Linked DNA regions of Stegostoma tigrinum. The protein of the gene in region 2 interacts with the protein of the main gene of each other region in a pairwise test. Links are inferred from orthologs where the notes say so. Each region holds a gene or a part of one and is shown on either strand. Other genes may lie near its edges.

Evidence for each region.
Region 1: the proteins of alpha-1,6-mannosylglycoprotein 6-beta-N-acetylglucosaminyltransferase B (region 2) and pitx1 interact in a two-hybrid assay, tested with the Homo sapiens proteins (2 studies listed by BioGRID). The link is inferred for Stegostoma tigrinum from reciprocal best matches to the Homo sapiens genes MGAT5B and PITX1.

Annotation. Positions count from the first base shown.
Region 1 is NC_081366.1:31,311,160-31,318,104, forward strand, and holds the start of pitx1 (pituitary homeobox 1), read right to left. Parts: upstream 3,047-6,945; 5' UTR 3,032-3,046; coding exon 3,017-3,031; intron 1-3,016. UniProt on the Homo sapiens protein: Sequence-specific transcription factor that binds gene promoters and activates their transcription. May play a role in the development of anterior structures, and in particular, the brain and facies and in specifying the identity or structure of hindlimb.
Region 2 is NC_081375.1:32,599,412-32,606,381, reverse strand, and holds the start of alpha-1,6-mannosylglycoprotein 6-beta-N-acetylglucosaminyltransferase B, read left to right. Parts: upstream 1-3,962; 5' UTR 3,963-4,569; coding exon 4,570-4,652; intron 4,653-6,488; coding exon 6,489-6,616; intron 6,617-6,970. UniProt on the Homo sapiens protein: Glycosyltransferase that acts on alpha-linked mannose of N-glycans and O-mannosyl glycans.

The DNA of each region.
Region 1 (6,945 bases), on a different chromosome or scaffold from region 2:
TAGTTTTAAAGTTGTGCCTCACCCTGAGTAATGCAAATTTCAGAAAAAAATCTAAATTCTTTATTCCCTAAAATTAACGCTCGTAGCTAATTAACAAATCAGTTCAGTAGTCAAGCCATTGACCCTTATATGTTTGAGTTGCCATTGACAAGCGAGATGCGGAATCTTGGCGCAAGGGACACACTGATTCTGTCAGCAATTTGCTTGTCAAATCCTTTTTCTTCATCGGATAGCATTGCTTGTTGATTATATTAACGAATACACATGTTCGCCCAAGTACAGTTTGCTTCCCCTTTGCCGACGAAAAGATAGCACTAGCGTATTTGAAACATTTATCTATTCCCAAAGGAGAAAATTTTCAAATTGGCCGTGTTGTGACTCCACATACAAATCGTTCCAATTATGGTCTTAAATACTACGATCAGCAGAACTCTCTGCAAAGGGCGGCGATCAGATTTCAGGATTTTCCTGACATATCCCCACCCCGCTTCCCATTCGTTTCCGTCCTGAGTTGGTAGAGGGAGAATCAATCCTCTGGCAGAGGCCATGTAAGGAGAAACTTGATTGCTTCTCACAATACAGTGTATAAACTTTTTTTTAAATAAAGAGGTTCCATCCGGGCTCATAGTGCCCACTTTGTGCCCGACACTTCAATTCTGGATACACATTTCATCCATTAGAAAAACTGCGTGAAATAATTCACCAACATCACACAAACGATGTAGCCAGATCTGTAGAAAATAGCAAAGGTCTCGGGATGACATCTATTAATTTGTAATGATTAGCCTCCAAAGAATACTGAAGTTCTTTATATGAGCAACGTTAACACGCCGAAGAATTTCACTCAAATATTTCAATCTATAACTGTTATTGATCAGGTTTCGGCAATGATAAATGATTTGGACAGAGTAACATTTCGTATTGGAAATTATCTTAGGTTTGCTCTGTGCAAATCTGCACTCTTAAATACCGCCGCCTCCGAACACGTACCCGTACGGCCTTCTCTCGTAAGATTTTCATCTCTGCCAGCGATCAGGTGTCTAGGAACTGGCCCAGGAACATTGTACAAAGATCAAATCGCATTGCTCCCCATTGCTACTTTTAAAGGTTGTTCGACATCATACCTACGGGCGACTATTGCACCACACAGTTCAAGGTAAGCCAGTTTTCAAGGTTGTCTCTTGTAAGGTGTTGGTAGATTACGTTCACGGAGAGCATTTGGACGGGGCTCAGTAACAAAAAAAACTAAATCTGTATAAGTGGATGTCTTGAAAAATCTGAAGGACATTTTACCTTTTTCGCTATGTGAAGTGAGTCAGGTGTTGGACGAAAATGACCTTTGCTAGTTTAACTGCAATGTTTGAATCTGAATGATTGCAGTTAACAAATCATTATATTGTAGAAGTAGAAAGGTACTACTGGGGCAAGTAATTGCAATCAAAGCCAATCCAGCAGGTAAGGCCTCTAAACAAACTAAACGATTATTCACTAGGTCTGTCTTTCACAGGATCACATTTGTCAAAGAAAATACTGTTCCACTGTCACCAACTTATCTTTTTAACTGGACTTTCGATTTCATTTGGCATTCACAGGGGCACTGAGTTAGGACACAGCCGTTATGCTGATACATACTAAATTCTTTAGCTTAACAGGAAATCACAGACTGACTGAAAATAAAATCGTGTTCACGTTCCAGTCCGGGGCATTCGGTTGCCGAAGATAAAAAACACACAAAAAAAGCAAAGAAATGCGGGTGCGAAGGGTCAGTGGATCCGAAATATTAACTCTGATTACTCTCCATAGTTGCTGCAGAAAAGCTGCTGAGCTTTTCCGGCAATTTCTGTTTCCAATTTATAAAAACCACTAATTTTGATCTTGCAAATCTTGTAAATAAATTTTGTAAACAAAGTTATCGGTCGCAAACTATCCACCCAAAAGCTGTTCCGCACACGTATGCATTTACATTACAGCCTACATTATTGCTAAAATCTATAGCCAAATACAGTTTTATTTACCTCAACACGTAGTAAGTGTTTGTTTACATTAAAGAACCAGCGTGAACACTCTCTTGTTCTTTGATGGAAACACAAATCTCTCTACCAGTAGCTTCTAGGGACCGGGTTGCCTTCGATTCCAGTCACTTAACGTTTTCTCGAGTTGGATCTGTCCCCAGGTATAATTATCATCGTGCGTTTATGGTTTGTTTTGTTTCCAAGTGCGAATCTATGACTGCCTGTAATCTACCCGAACCCAATAGCGACATATTTCATTTAAAAACTATGCGTGTTATTTATTTTTGCTCGCTTTCTATACTTTATCGCTGCAGTAACATGTTGAACCACGCTAACAACCGCTCTGCAGGTTGGGTCGAGATCCATTCTGAGAGCGTCTGTAATGCTGCTGCTGAGGAAAGGGCCTTCTCTCTCTATAACCCGACAGCAAAACTTCGATTGTTTAAAATCTCAAATCAAGAAGTTATATTCGGTCAGAAACAAATACCGTAAAGTAAGAAAAAGCCGATTATAAAGTTTTTCAAATAGATAGAAGGCGAGGACTAATTTATACTCCTCGCTTGTCTACCAGGACTCGGTTTCACTCCATCATGTACAAACATCGTGCTGAAATGAAACAAAAACAGAAATTGCTGGGAAAGCTCAGTAGGTCTGGCAGCGCTTGTGCAGAGAAATTCGAGTTAACTTCCTCGGAACTCATCTGCAGTTTTTTTCTGGTTTCCGCGCTGAAATGACATTTTCAAACTTTTTGGTGTGCTGCATTCGAGAGGAACTGTCGGGTTCCCTCACACGGCTTCTATGCGGTGTGAAATAACAGAAAATACCCCAAACCCCGCCGCAACGTCAGAGTTCTAAGTGAAAAAAAAAGCCCCCTCAAAATCTCTATTCCCACAGTCAGCGAACAAAATGCCCTGGGAAAGCGCAAGGTTCGAAATAACATAGCGGGCGGGAGAGAATGAAAACCAAACAGTAAAGAATAAATACGCCTGACTGGCTGCTTTTACCTGACCTTTAATCATATTGCCTTGGTCTGCTCGTCTTTGTGAGAATCCTGTTTGAAATGCTGGTGAGCAGCTGAATTTATCGACATTGCAACGTTTTTACAAAAGCACGTGTTTTCATTTCCCCCATTCTATTCTTCACGCGGGCGAGCTAGGAGCGAGGGGACTCACCATTTATGTGCATGACTTGCAGCTTTCGCTGTCTTCGGTACATGCTGTTTCCGCATGAATTGAAAGCATAGTTCCAGCGCAGTGCAGGAGGCCGGCTGGCTTTGCACTCGATCCGGAGTTTGGTTCCGTTCCTGAACCTCGGCAGCTGTCTCCCTGGCTGACAGGTGACGTCAGGCCTCCCACCCTCGGGCCAGGGCTGTGTGTGTGCGCTCAAGCACAGCACAGGTTATGTAAGAAGCTGGATGTCATGTTTGTTTCGTTCAGGGCAAATGAATGAGTCGGCGCTCTGTGCTCGGCAGTGGTTATAACTGGGAGAGAATGGGTGCAATTCTAACGGTTGGTAAAGGCAGAGGAAGCTGCTTCTTTAAGGTCGACCACCCTCTCTCGTTGGCTTCCATTGGGGCATTGGCACAAGACCCTCCCTCACAATAAGAATTACTACAGTCATGTCCTAAGCCCCTTTGATCCTCGGCAAATTATGAGCACCTTTCATCTGTTTATGTTGGAATATAAACTAAAGTGTTGCTTTCATAATCTTTTAGAAGAGATTACATTGTAAACAAGCGGATTAGGTACATTAACTTTCCTAGAAAGAGGACATCGGTTTTTATTTGGTATTTAATTGCCCAGAGGACGCACTTCGGTGCAAATTCAGTCGTGACAGCTGGCGAATTGTTTATTATTAATTAATTCATTTCACAATTTCCAAGAGAGAGAAGCGCATCACATACATATTTCACCCTTCAGCCCTTCACTAAGCATTTCACCGCGTCACATATCCCCTGTGATAAAACAGGGCCGTTCGCTCTGAGTTTACTATTGCGGAGGGGAACTGACTGTCCGGACGTACAACGTAGCGAGCGGGCCTTTCTTGGAACGGAGGCACTAATCGGATGGGAATAAGGAACTCAACAAACCAGCCACACCTGGGTGTAAAATTCACCCCAAACGCTCTCACATTGTTTAGTGGGGGTCCAGTGTTTATGTGATTGTGCCGTGGGCCTTTGTGAGGTACACTGTTACATCATGAAAAACAGTAAACATTTCGTTATTTATAAACACCCAACTGGAACAATTTTATTGTTTTACACAGCTCTACAATAAATTAGTGAATTTAATTTTAACGCTGAAACCATTACGTGTCTTCAACCCATTAAGCAAGTTTAGCGTGTCGCTGTCATCCAACTGGCAGACAGCACTTGTAGTCAAATCCCAATTTGTCTGCAGAAAATGTGCAAACCGGTGCTGTGAGACATTCAGCCGCAAGTTTTGGATTGGACACAGAGCGAAATGTAATCCCAAAGGCATGTAAGTAGGTTTTAAAAATGCTCCAAGTATTCCATTGCGTCGCCAGTACATTTTCTACACTCGTTTTTATGAAGTGAATACTTCTGTTTGAGTTTGTTAAAAAATGTACTGGCAGAGAGAATGGAGTTCTGCGCACGTGTGCAAGTATACACAGCTTCATTCCCTAAGTAGTCAGAATGCAAGTTTTCAGTTTGTTTGCACACGTTACATTGTTGGCTGATCTTCCTACTAAGCAGATTTCTTAGTTACAGTATAACCATAGTCTGTGTGGTATATAAACATTAAAATCAATTATAGCACTCTGTTGTTTTGAGTAGAAATGCAATTATCAAAATGTATGTGTAAATACTTTGTGTGATGGAGAAACACAAATTAGGTGTTACCCTGGCTCACTGATTGTGCTTTTGTGTCTTAGTCAGCATGTCATCAGTTCCTTCCAAAGATTGGAACATACTTTATCCAAGTTGATGCTTTCAGTGGAGGGTTCAGGGAGTGCTACATTGGCAGAGGTGCAATGTTTCAAATGAGATGTTGAAGCTGAGGTCTCGACTATGCTATTTTTCAAAATAGAATGGAGGCCGACTGTAAAATAAAACAAAGAACGCGGATGCTGGAGATCTGGAACACACAAAAACAGAAGATGCTGGAGGAATGTACTAGGTCGGCCAGCATCCGTGGAGGAAAAACAAAGCTGCACTTCGAGTCCAGTGACCCAATACTTTGCCTTCTCTCCACAGACGCTGTCAGACCTGTTGCGTTTCTCCAGCAGTTGCCGTTTTTGTGTGCTAGGGGACAACGCTTGCAGACCTGAAGAACATGTACGCGATAGTTCTCCAAGAACACCATACTTGGATTCTTGTGTGACCTCACGCTAAAGAAAATCGCCATAGAAAATCGCGTTATTGGGGAATTACTGTACTGTACTGCAGAAAGTTCTCATTATGGAAACAGCGTCCACAGTTCATCAATCGTGTTACAGCCAATTCGCATTAACAAAACATGCGTTATAGCAGAACTACCTGTAATTGTGAACCAACATCACCACTTCAAGAGGCCAGGCGCCAGCTCTCTGACACCTCTTGCTCCCGCCTCCTTGATCATGACCCTACCCCAACCACCAAATCATCATCTCCCAAACCATCCACAGCCTCATCACCTCAGGTGACCTCCCATCCACAGCCTCCAACCTCGTGGTTCCCCAACCCCACTATCTCTTTCCCAAAATCCACAAACCTGGCTGCCCTGGTCGACCCATTGTTTCCACCTGCTCCTGCCCCACCAAACTTATCTCCAACTATTTTGACTCCATTTTCTCCCGCTCAGTCCAGGAACTTCCTACCAATGTCCGTGACACCACCCATGCCCTCTACCTCCTCCAAAACATCCACTTCCCTGGTCCCCAACACCTCATCTTTACCATGGACACCCAGTCCCTATACACCTGAATTCCCCATATAGATGGCCTAAAGACCTTCTGCTTCTTCCTGTCCCACAGACCCAACCAGTCCCCTTCCACTGACACAATCATCTGTTTAACTGAACTTGTCCTCACCCTCAACAACTTCTCTTTCAATTCCTCCCACTTCCTACAGACAAAGGGGGTTGCCATGGGTGCCCACATGGGCCCAAGCTATGCCTGCCTCTTTGTAGGTTATGTGGAACTATCCCTCTTCCGTACCTACACTGGCCCTACACCCCACCTCTTCCTCAGTTACATTGATGACTGTATTGGTGCGGCCTCATGTTACCATGAGGAGCTCAAACAGTTCACCCACTTCACCAACACCTTCCATCCCAATCTTAAGTTCACCTGGACCTTCTCTGATACCTCCCTCTCCTTCCTGGACCCCTCTGTCTCCATCTCTGGCAGCCACCTGGAAATTGATATCCATTTCAAGCCTACTGACTCCCATAGCTACCTAGAATACACCTCCTCCCGCCCACCTTCCTGCAAAAATGCCATCCCCTATTCCTAATTCCTTCATTTCGGCCACATCTGCTCCCAGGATGAGGCATTCCACTCCCGTACATTTCAGATGTCCTCATTTTTCAAGGACTACAACTCTCCCACCTTAGTGGTCGACAATGCTCTAGACCGTGTCTCCCACATTTCTCACAACTCATCCCTCACGCCCCCTCCTGACAAGAACAACTAAAACAGAATCCCCCTCATCCTCATGTACCACCTCACCAACCTCCGGATCCCACCAGTCATCCTCTGACACTTCCGCCATCTGCAATCTGACCCCACCACCAAAGACATTTTCCCCTCCCTACCCTTATCTGCTTTCTGGAGGGACCACTCCCTCCGTGACTCCCTTGTTTGCTCCACACTCCCCTCCACCACACCCGATACTTTCCCCTGCAACTGCAGGAAGTGCTATGCCTGCCCCTACACCTCTTCCCTCACCCCCATCCTAGGCCCCAAGAAGACTTTCCACATCAAGCAGATG
Region 2 (6,970 bases):
AAATTATGTTTAATCATGCTCACATGCAGTGAGTTCAAATGTTAATATTTCATTAAAGGTGCTTTGCAAAGGTAACATAATAATTTACTCTGTGTTTTGCTGAAAAACTTTTTTAAATAAGAAAACTACTCCAATTGCATGTTTCTCAGCTTTCCTTAGTATCCTGAAAACAGCATCTTTTATAGATAAAAACTATTTAACATCTTGATAGTAAGTGGGAAAACATAATCTTTGAGGCCTTGTTTAACTGCATACCTAGAAGCAATGATAAAAAACGTTTATTGTCAGAAACTTGATACTGGAGGAGTCCTGTGGGTGGAATTTTTCCTTATGCATAATGGAGGAAGAAAACATTTCAATTGCAAATTGATCATACTTTAGAATTTCAAAACATTTAACTTTTAAATTAAAAAGTACAATAGTACCACTGCAGCATTTTACTGCAAATGCTACAGTTGGTTCAAATAGGTTAATACGCCATGAATTTCATTGTAAACCATAGGGCCAAACTTTCCTTCTGTCAAACGATGTGGACATTGACAAGTCAGTTGGGAAAATATGACAAATTAGAAAATAAGTATTAAAAAGTCAAGAAAAAGAAATTTCTGTCCAGAACTGGAGATCAGAATTACATGTTGTGCTCTCCAGTGTATCCAGTCATGGTCATTGAAGCTCATGGAATGGTTTTTCCATGTCAGACGTCCTTGCAAGTCATGCCTGTGGCGTTGGCACCTTACCATCCAGATTGCAGATACTACTTGAACCAGAATCTCTGCTTTGGATAACTGGAGGGTGTACTGTGGCTATAGGATGGACAATGGGGATCTACGAAAGCTGAGGCATTGCGCCGAGTGAGAACATGAGGATGTTCCTTAGATGGAACCGTGCCTGCAGTATCATACAGCACAGAAGCATTGACCAAATCAATGTAGGCAGGACATTGTTTGTGAATACCATTCAATGAAATTGAGCTGTGCAAAGTCATCTTTCACTGACTGCAAATGATTTATGCTGCTGAGGCCAATATCCCACGTATAATCATGACTGTAAGCGCAGCTTAAAGTTTTGATCCTTCGATGTGACTCATGCTATTTAATAGATGTTAAGGTTACAAATGAATGGAAGCCTTCGCAACATCCAATGCTCCCTCACTGAATTGTGGTAGCTATGGAAAGGACAGCTATCTTTTAAGGATAGCTTGAACATCTTGTGGTGCTAAGGATGGCTAGTTTCTCTGCCTTCATTCTTACAGTCGCTGCTAAAACTCAATTGACTCACCCTGCTGATAATGAAAGGTAATCAACACTTTAAAGGCATCTGGATGGGTACATGAATAGGAAGGGTTTAAGGGGATATAGGTCAAATGCTGGCAAATGGGATTAGGTCAGATTGGGATGTCTGATCGGCGCAGATGACTGAAAGGTCTGTCTCCATTCTATCTGCCTCTATTTACAAATATGATAATGCATTTATAATAAATATCATGTACGCTATTAATATGCCCTTGTAAGGTCTTGTGCCTTTCACTCCTCTACATCTAGATGCAGGCATGGTGTCTGCAGCTGCAGTGAAGTGACAACCCCTTCTTCCACAGTAACTCATATTCTCAAATGCACTATCGTCTGCACTTCTTATATATTGAGATTCTCCCCCATCACAATAATTGTCCTCTTTGCATCCCAGCCAGCAGCATCCAACCTCCACAATTGACAGCCCAACTTTCGTTGACTTGCAATATTGGTAACCTCCAACTACTGTTGTCGCCCTTTAATGAACTGAGGTCTACACTTGTTAGACTTTCAGATATGGTGATTTGGCTGAAGCACATGCAGTGTGTTTGCCTAGTGAGCTGCTGTATCATATTATGGGTGTGACATTGAAATAACACGGTGCTGTACAGGATCATGTCTATCTTTTTGACTCATCACTTCTTACAACTAGGACAAGCTACCTGGTGTTGTGCCTGCACTAAATGGCAAGGCAAGGCAGAAAAACCATCAGCCTTTAAGTTCAGAATGAGTGGGCAATGTGAAAAGAAAACAAGGCAAGCAATGATGCTGTGAGCTTTTAAGTAGATGCAGAGTGAATGGGGTTTAAGAAAGCAAGCAAGGAACCCAGAGATGTTCCCTGGTTTAATTCATGAGATGGGTGCCTGACTCTGCGCTTTTCAAGCAGCGTTACAGTAAAAATTTGGAGTGCAGAACCATATTGCAAGTTAGTTGGATATGTGCCATGCGGATGCAAAGAGATTGGCATGTGACTGATGCCAACCTCTTTGAATTGGCTACGTGGTGTCGATGCCCGTGGAACACGCCCGGAGATGCAGATGACTGATTCCAAGATGGTGGCCTGGAGGAGCATGCAGGTGATTGAGGTTGCCAGATATCTGTTTCAAAGTTCATGTCAGGAATTGTCGCTGTCTAATTTATTTTCGGCATTTAGGAGAACAGGAAATTGCATTTCAATGAGGTAAGATTAGGTGTGATAGCATATTATCGTTATACAAGGTGACCTGTTGCTGCTCACTAGTATGCTTCTTATGTTGTTCAAAACCTGATTGCAGAATCTGATTCCTTTTTCTTGACGTTGAGGATTTAATTTTTGCTGATCTTGCCATATTTTCCCAACTGTCTTGCCAGTGTTCACATCGTGGGGGAGTTGGGGACTTACCACCTAAATTATTATATTATGAAATAGCAACCAAACTGATTTAATTGGTTTAAAAAAATTCTTAGCATCTAAGTTTGAAATGCTTCTCAGCAAACAATGAAGGGTGGCATGGTGGCTCACACTGCCAGGGATGTGGCTAAAATTCCAGCCTTGGGCAACTATCTGTGTGGAGTTGGCACATTCTCCTCGTGTCTGCGTAGGTTTCCTTCAGTTGCTCTGGTTTCCTCCCACAGTCTATAGGTGTGTACGGTGGGTGGATTGGCCATGCTAAATTGCCCATAGTGTTCAGGAACGTGTAGGTTAGATGGAATAGTCATGGGACATGAAGGTATACAGGGACAGTTTAAGTGGATACGTCTGGATGGGATGCTCTTTGGACAGCCAGTGTAGACTAGTTGGGCCGAATAGCCTGCTTCCACCCTGTAGGGATTCTATGAAGTTTCACTCACTGGCATCCTTTTAATGAGTCCTGATGTGAGATTCACATAAATGAGAATTAAAATTGAAACTTTGCCACCAATAAAATGCAAAATCACATTGGTCAATAATTTCACCAAAAAGCATGCCTTTAAAATTGGACCAACGATAAAAAGGTTTGTTTCTGCTTCTTCATTCAGCCTATATAAGACAAAATTTACACAAGCACAGAAATTCAACGGCTGAACATTACTGCCACCTGCAGTTTTCTCAGAATCATTGACAATTGACAACATAATTCTAAATACAATAGGCTAGCTACCGAGTCTACCATACCAGTAGACCCATGATTATGCTATTGTGGAGTGTGAACAAATATCTGAAGGATCATTTGCTCTTTCCTAACTTCAAGCCAGATCACCATTGAGACAGCATGAGGGTGAGTAAGATACATGATTCCAAATAAGATGAAATTCATGTATGGTGGATTATTCCTTAAAAATTTCAAAAATTTGCTTTGTTTTCTATTATGAGAAGATATTTATGACTGAATCATTACTATATTTGAGATTATGAATATATAAAAGATAATATTAATGGCAATTTCAGATTTTTTCTTGTCTTAAAATTGCTGCCGTGAACATTTATGGCTTCCTGTTTTCTTGTCTTTTACAGAATCTTAGCACTACTCGTAATGTAGAAAACACACAGCACCTGTTTAGGTAAGAATCTATTCAGCTAAAATACAAAGTAATTAATGTAGGAACAAACTATCCCCAGAACACTAGGTGATGCTCTAGCACTGTTGTTGCATCAGGATAATGTAACATCTCATGCTTTGTAAAGGAAATAAAGCAGCTATGATAGAGAGGCTGATGTATTCCAGCTATCCTGGTTGGATTGTGATCTGTCAGTCAGCCTTTTATCCCCAACCCTATTCACTTGTCCAAGGGGTTGAATGCCGAGGTTGTTGGTGGCTGCTTGTACTAGATCTGGCGGTTGAGCAAAAATCAGTATGAATCTCACCCGAGGGACTATGAGGATGCCCTGCCTAAGTGTGTCAATGCAATAGTCATGTGGCTGTGAATAACAGCAAGCTCTGATCATGAGAGGAGGAAATCTTCAAGCAACTAATGTGCTTTTTTTCACCTGCAGTCTCCTTGATTCTTGTTTAACTGTTAATTTTGGATTATCTTCGGCATCTTGTATTCATCACTACTTCCTGAAAAAGTCAACATAGAGCTAGGAGCAGCATCACTTCAGCTTGAATAAGGACTCACTCTGGAGATAGGAAACCTGGCAGATTTGTTTTAAATCAGCAAATCAAAAGTTGTGAATGGATTTTATTTGGTCTGACCTGAAAAAAAATCACCTGATGCCTATTAATTCGGTTCTAAGGACAATATTAAATATTGATTAATTAAATATCTTCAAATTAATCAAGTTTATATTAGATAATATTTATGTTTCACTGACAGAAAGATGTTTTTGCTTTCAAAAAATTCTACAAATTCAGATGGTAAAATAATGGTGAGAAGGTTTCTTGTAACCTTAAGGCCTTTCAGGTAAGTTTACCTTCAAGTTTTGTTTTCAATTACACATATAAAATAATTTAGTATTGATGATTGATATGACTTGTGTGGAACACTTGTGATCAATGCTTGTGTCAAGCAAAACTTACACTTTAATCTCATTGTAACTGCTGCTGGTCTAGATTATATGGTTATGAATCTCAGTTAATGTTTGTCATTTCAGTATAAAGACAGCTTTCCATGCTGGCAACACTTACAGTATTTACGTTTGCAATGCTCTGGGACCACCCTAATTCAAATGATGCTTTCTATTCAATGTAGCAATTGAGTTTGAGATGAATCTATGAGAGGCAGACAATACCATATTCTCTGTTTTTCATTCGTGGAAAGTTACATTTAAAACATAGAGGGTAAGGTGTGGAGTTGTGGCTGATGGGTGCGGGCACCAGGAGACGGCTAGTCACATTGAAATCACTCACCTTCCCACTATGAGATGCCACATGTGTTTCAGAATACATCCTGGTGTGATTGATCTTGTTTCTCCATGCTATTTCCATGGGGTCATGGTGTTAAGTACATGTTCAAGGATATAGCTAGGGCCGGGGGAGGGGATGGAGCTTGACGTTTGTTCAGTAACAGTTAAAAATACAAATCTATAAAATATCAGTGTATGAAATGTTACGTAAATATGTAAACTGATAATCTTGCAAAATCATTAAAACTGAATTTCAGAAAGGGTACATTTTAAAATATTGGTCGTAATTACATTGATATTAATTACAGTAATTTGCATGGCAAAACAAGAATGCTTTCTTCAATTGATGAACTTTGTGAAGCAATTGATTAATCTTGTGTTGCAAATTCACCGCATACAGCTAGGAACATATTCAAAAAGGATGCTCTAGAGTGTTATTGTTATTGTTGAACAGACATTTCTGTTTCTGTGTGTTGATCTGAAATTTAAGAGGACCTGTTTAACAATATCCAAATGATAGAGAAAAAGATGTGTATTTCATATTTAAAAGAAAATGCAGAAGTTGACCTAATTATTATTGCCAGAAATTTAAAATTGTAGAGGCAGGAATTCACTGCTTTTAGGGAAAGTACTTCTGGGAAACAAAATACATAAATAAGAGAATGTTCCTGTACCTTTTGATGACTTTCAGCCTCACGTACTTAATACCTACATATTCTTCAGGAGCTGGACTTGATCTAATTTCATTGTCAACATGTGGTACAGTGACAAAAGTAATAGGATCACCGTTATACCAGAGTCCTTCTAGGGTAGGCATAGAAGCAGACATATGTCAGAATAAATAATTTGGGGATGTGCTGCTACACAATCCCTCTCATTTTTTAAATTGCTCACCTACTTCATCTCCTGCCTGAAAGCCAACAATTAAATGTAGGGCTAGCCTAGAATGAATCTAAGCCTAAACATTGATTAAATAAATGGTACTGTTCATTTATTGCTTAGTATCAAACATAAAATGTGTTTTCTTAAAATATGTTAGAAATAAGTTGCCACCTCAGAAGCATTATGCCAATTTTTAAGATTTAGTATATGTGCATGGACAGCAGAAGTACATCTATTGTTCTTACTACATTATGCCGTTCAGCAGGTCACATAGTACCACCATGCTGTTGAATCCAATTATGAGTTACTAAGTTAGAATGAAGTATGGTCATACTTTTAAGCAAACAGTCAAAGTGTACAAGTGAATAAAGTAAAATTGTAAATTGACAACAGTATACGTGTAATCAAGTATACAATATAGAACACATTATATTTCTAGTATTCTCATATACTAGCTAACTATAAAGCAAAAACTTGTACGTTAGTCTGATATGCTCTCTGCTTGATTCTAGGTTATTTGTGGCTGGAATTGGATTCTTCACCCTCTGTTTTATAATGACCTCCTTTGGCGGACAGCTTACAGGCAAGAGAGTGGGAGACTCACCTTTTGGCATTAGACAATTAGGTAGCAAATCTGAAGGTAAATGTAGCTTTATGTCAAGTGCCATTACATTAACCTATTTACTGCTATCCATCTCTGAAAAAATTAAAAGAACCTGGACATACTCCAGCAAATTTGTCAAACGTGATTTCCCTGTAACAAAATCTTGTTGATTATGTTTTATTGCATTAAGCTTTCGTCAATGCCCTGCCATTTCTTCCTTAATAATGCGCTCCAGCATTTTCACAATGACAGCCATTAGGCTAACTTGACTGTAGTTTGCTAGTTTCTTTTTGGGATTTGGGGAACAAATTCCAGCCCAGAGCCACTGATACTTTTGCCATTGACCATAGGTGTGAACAATCTGAATCTCTTCCCAGTAAAACAACAGTG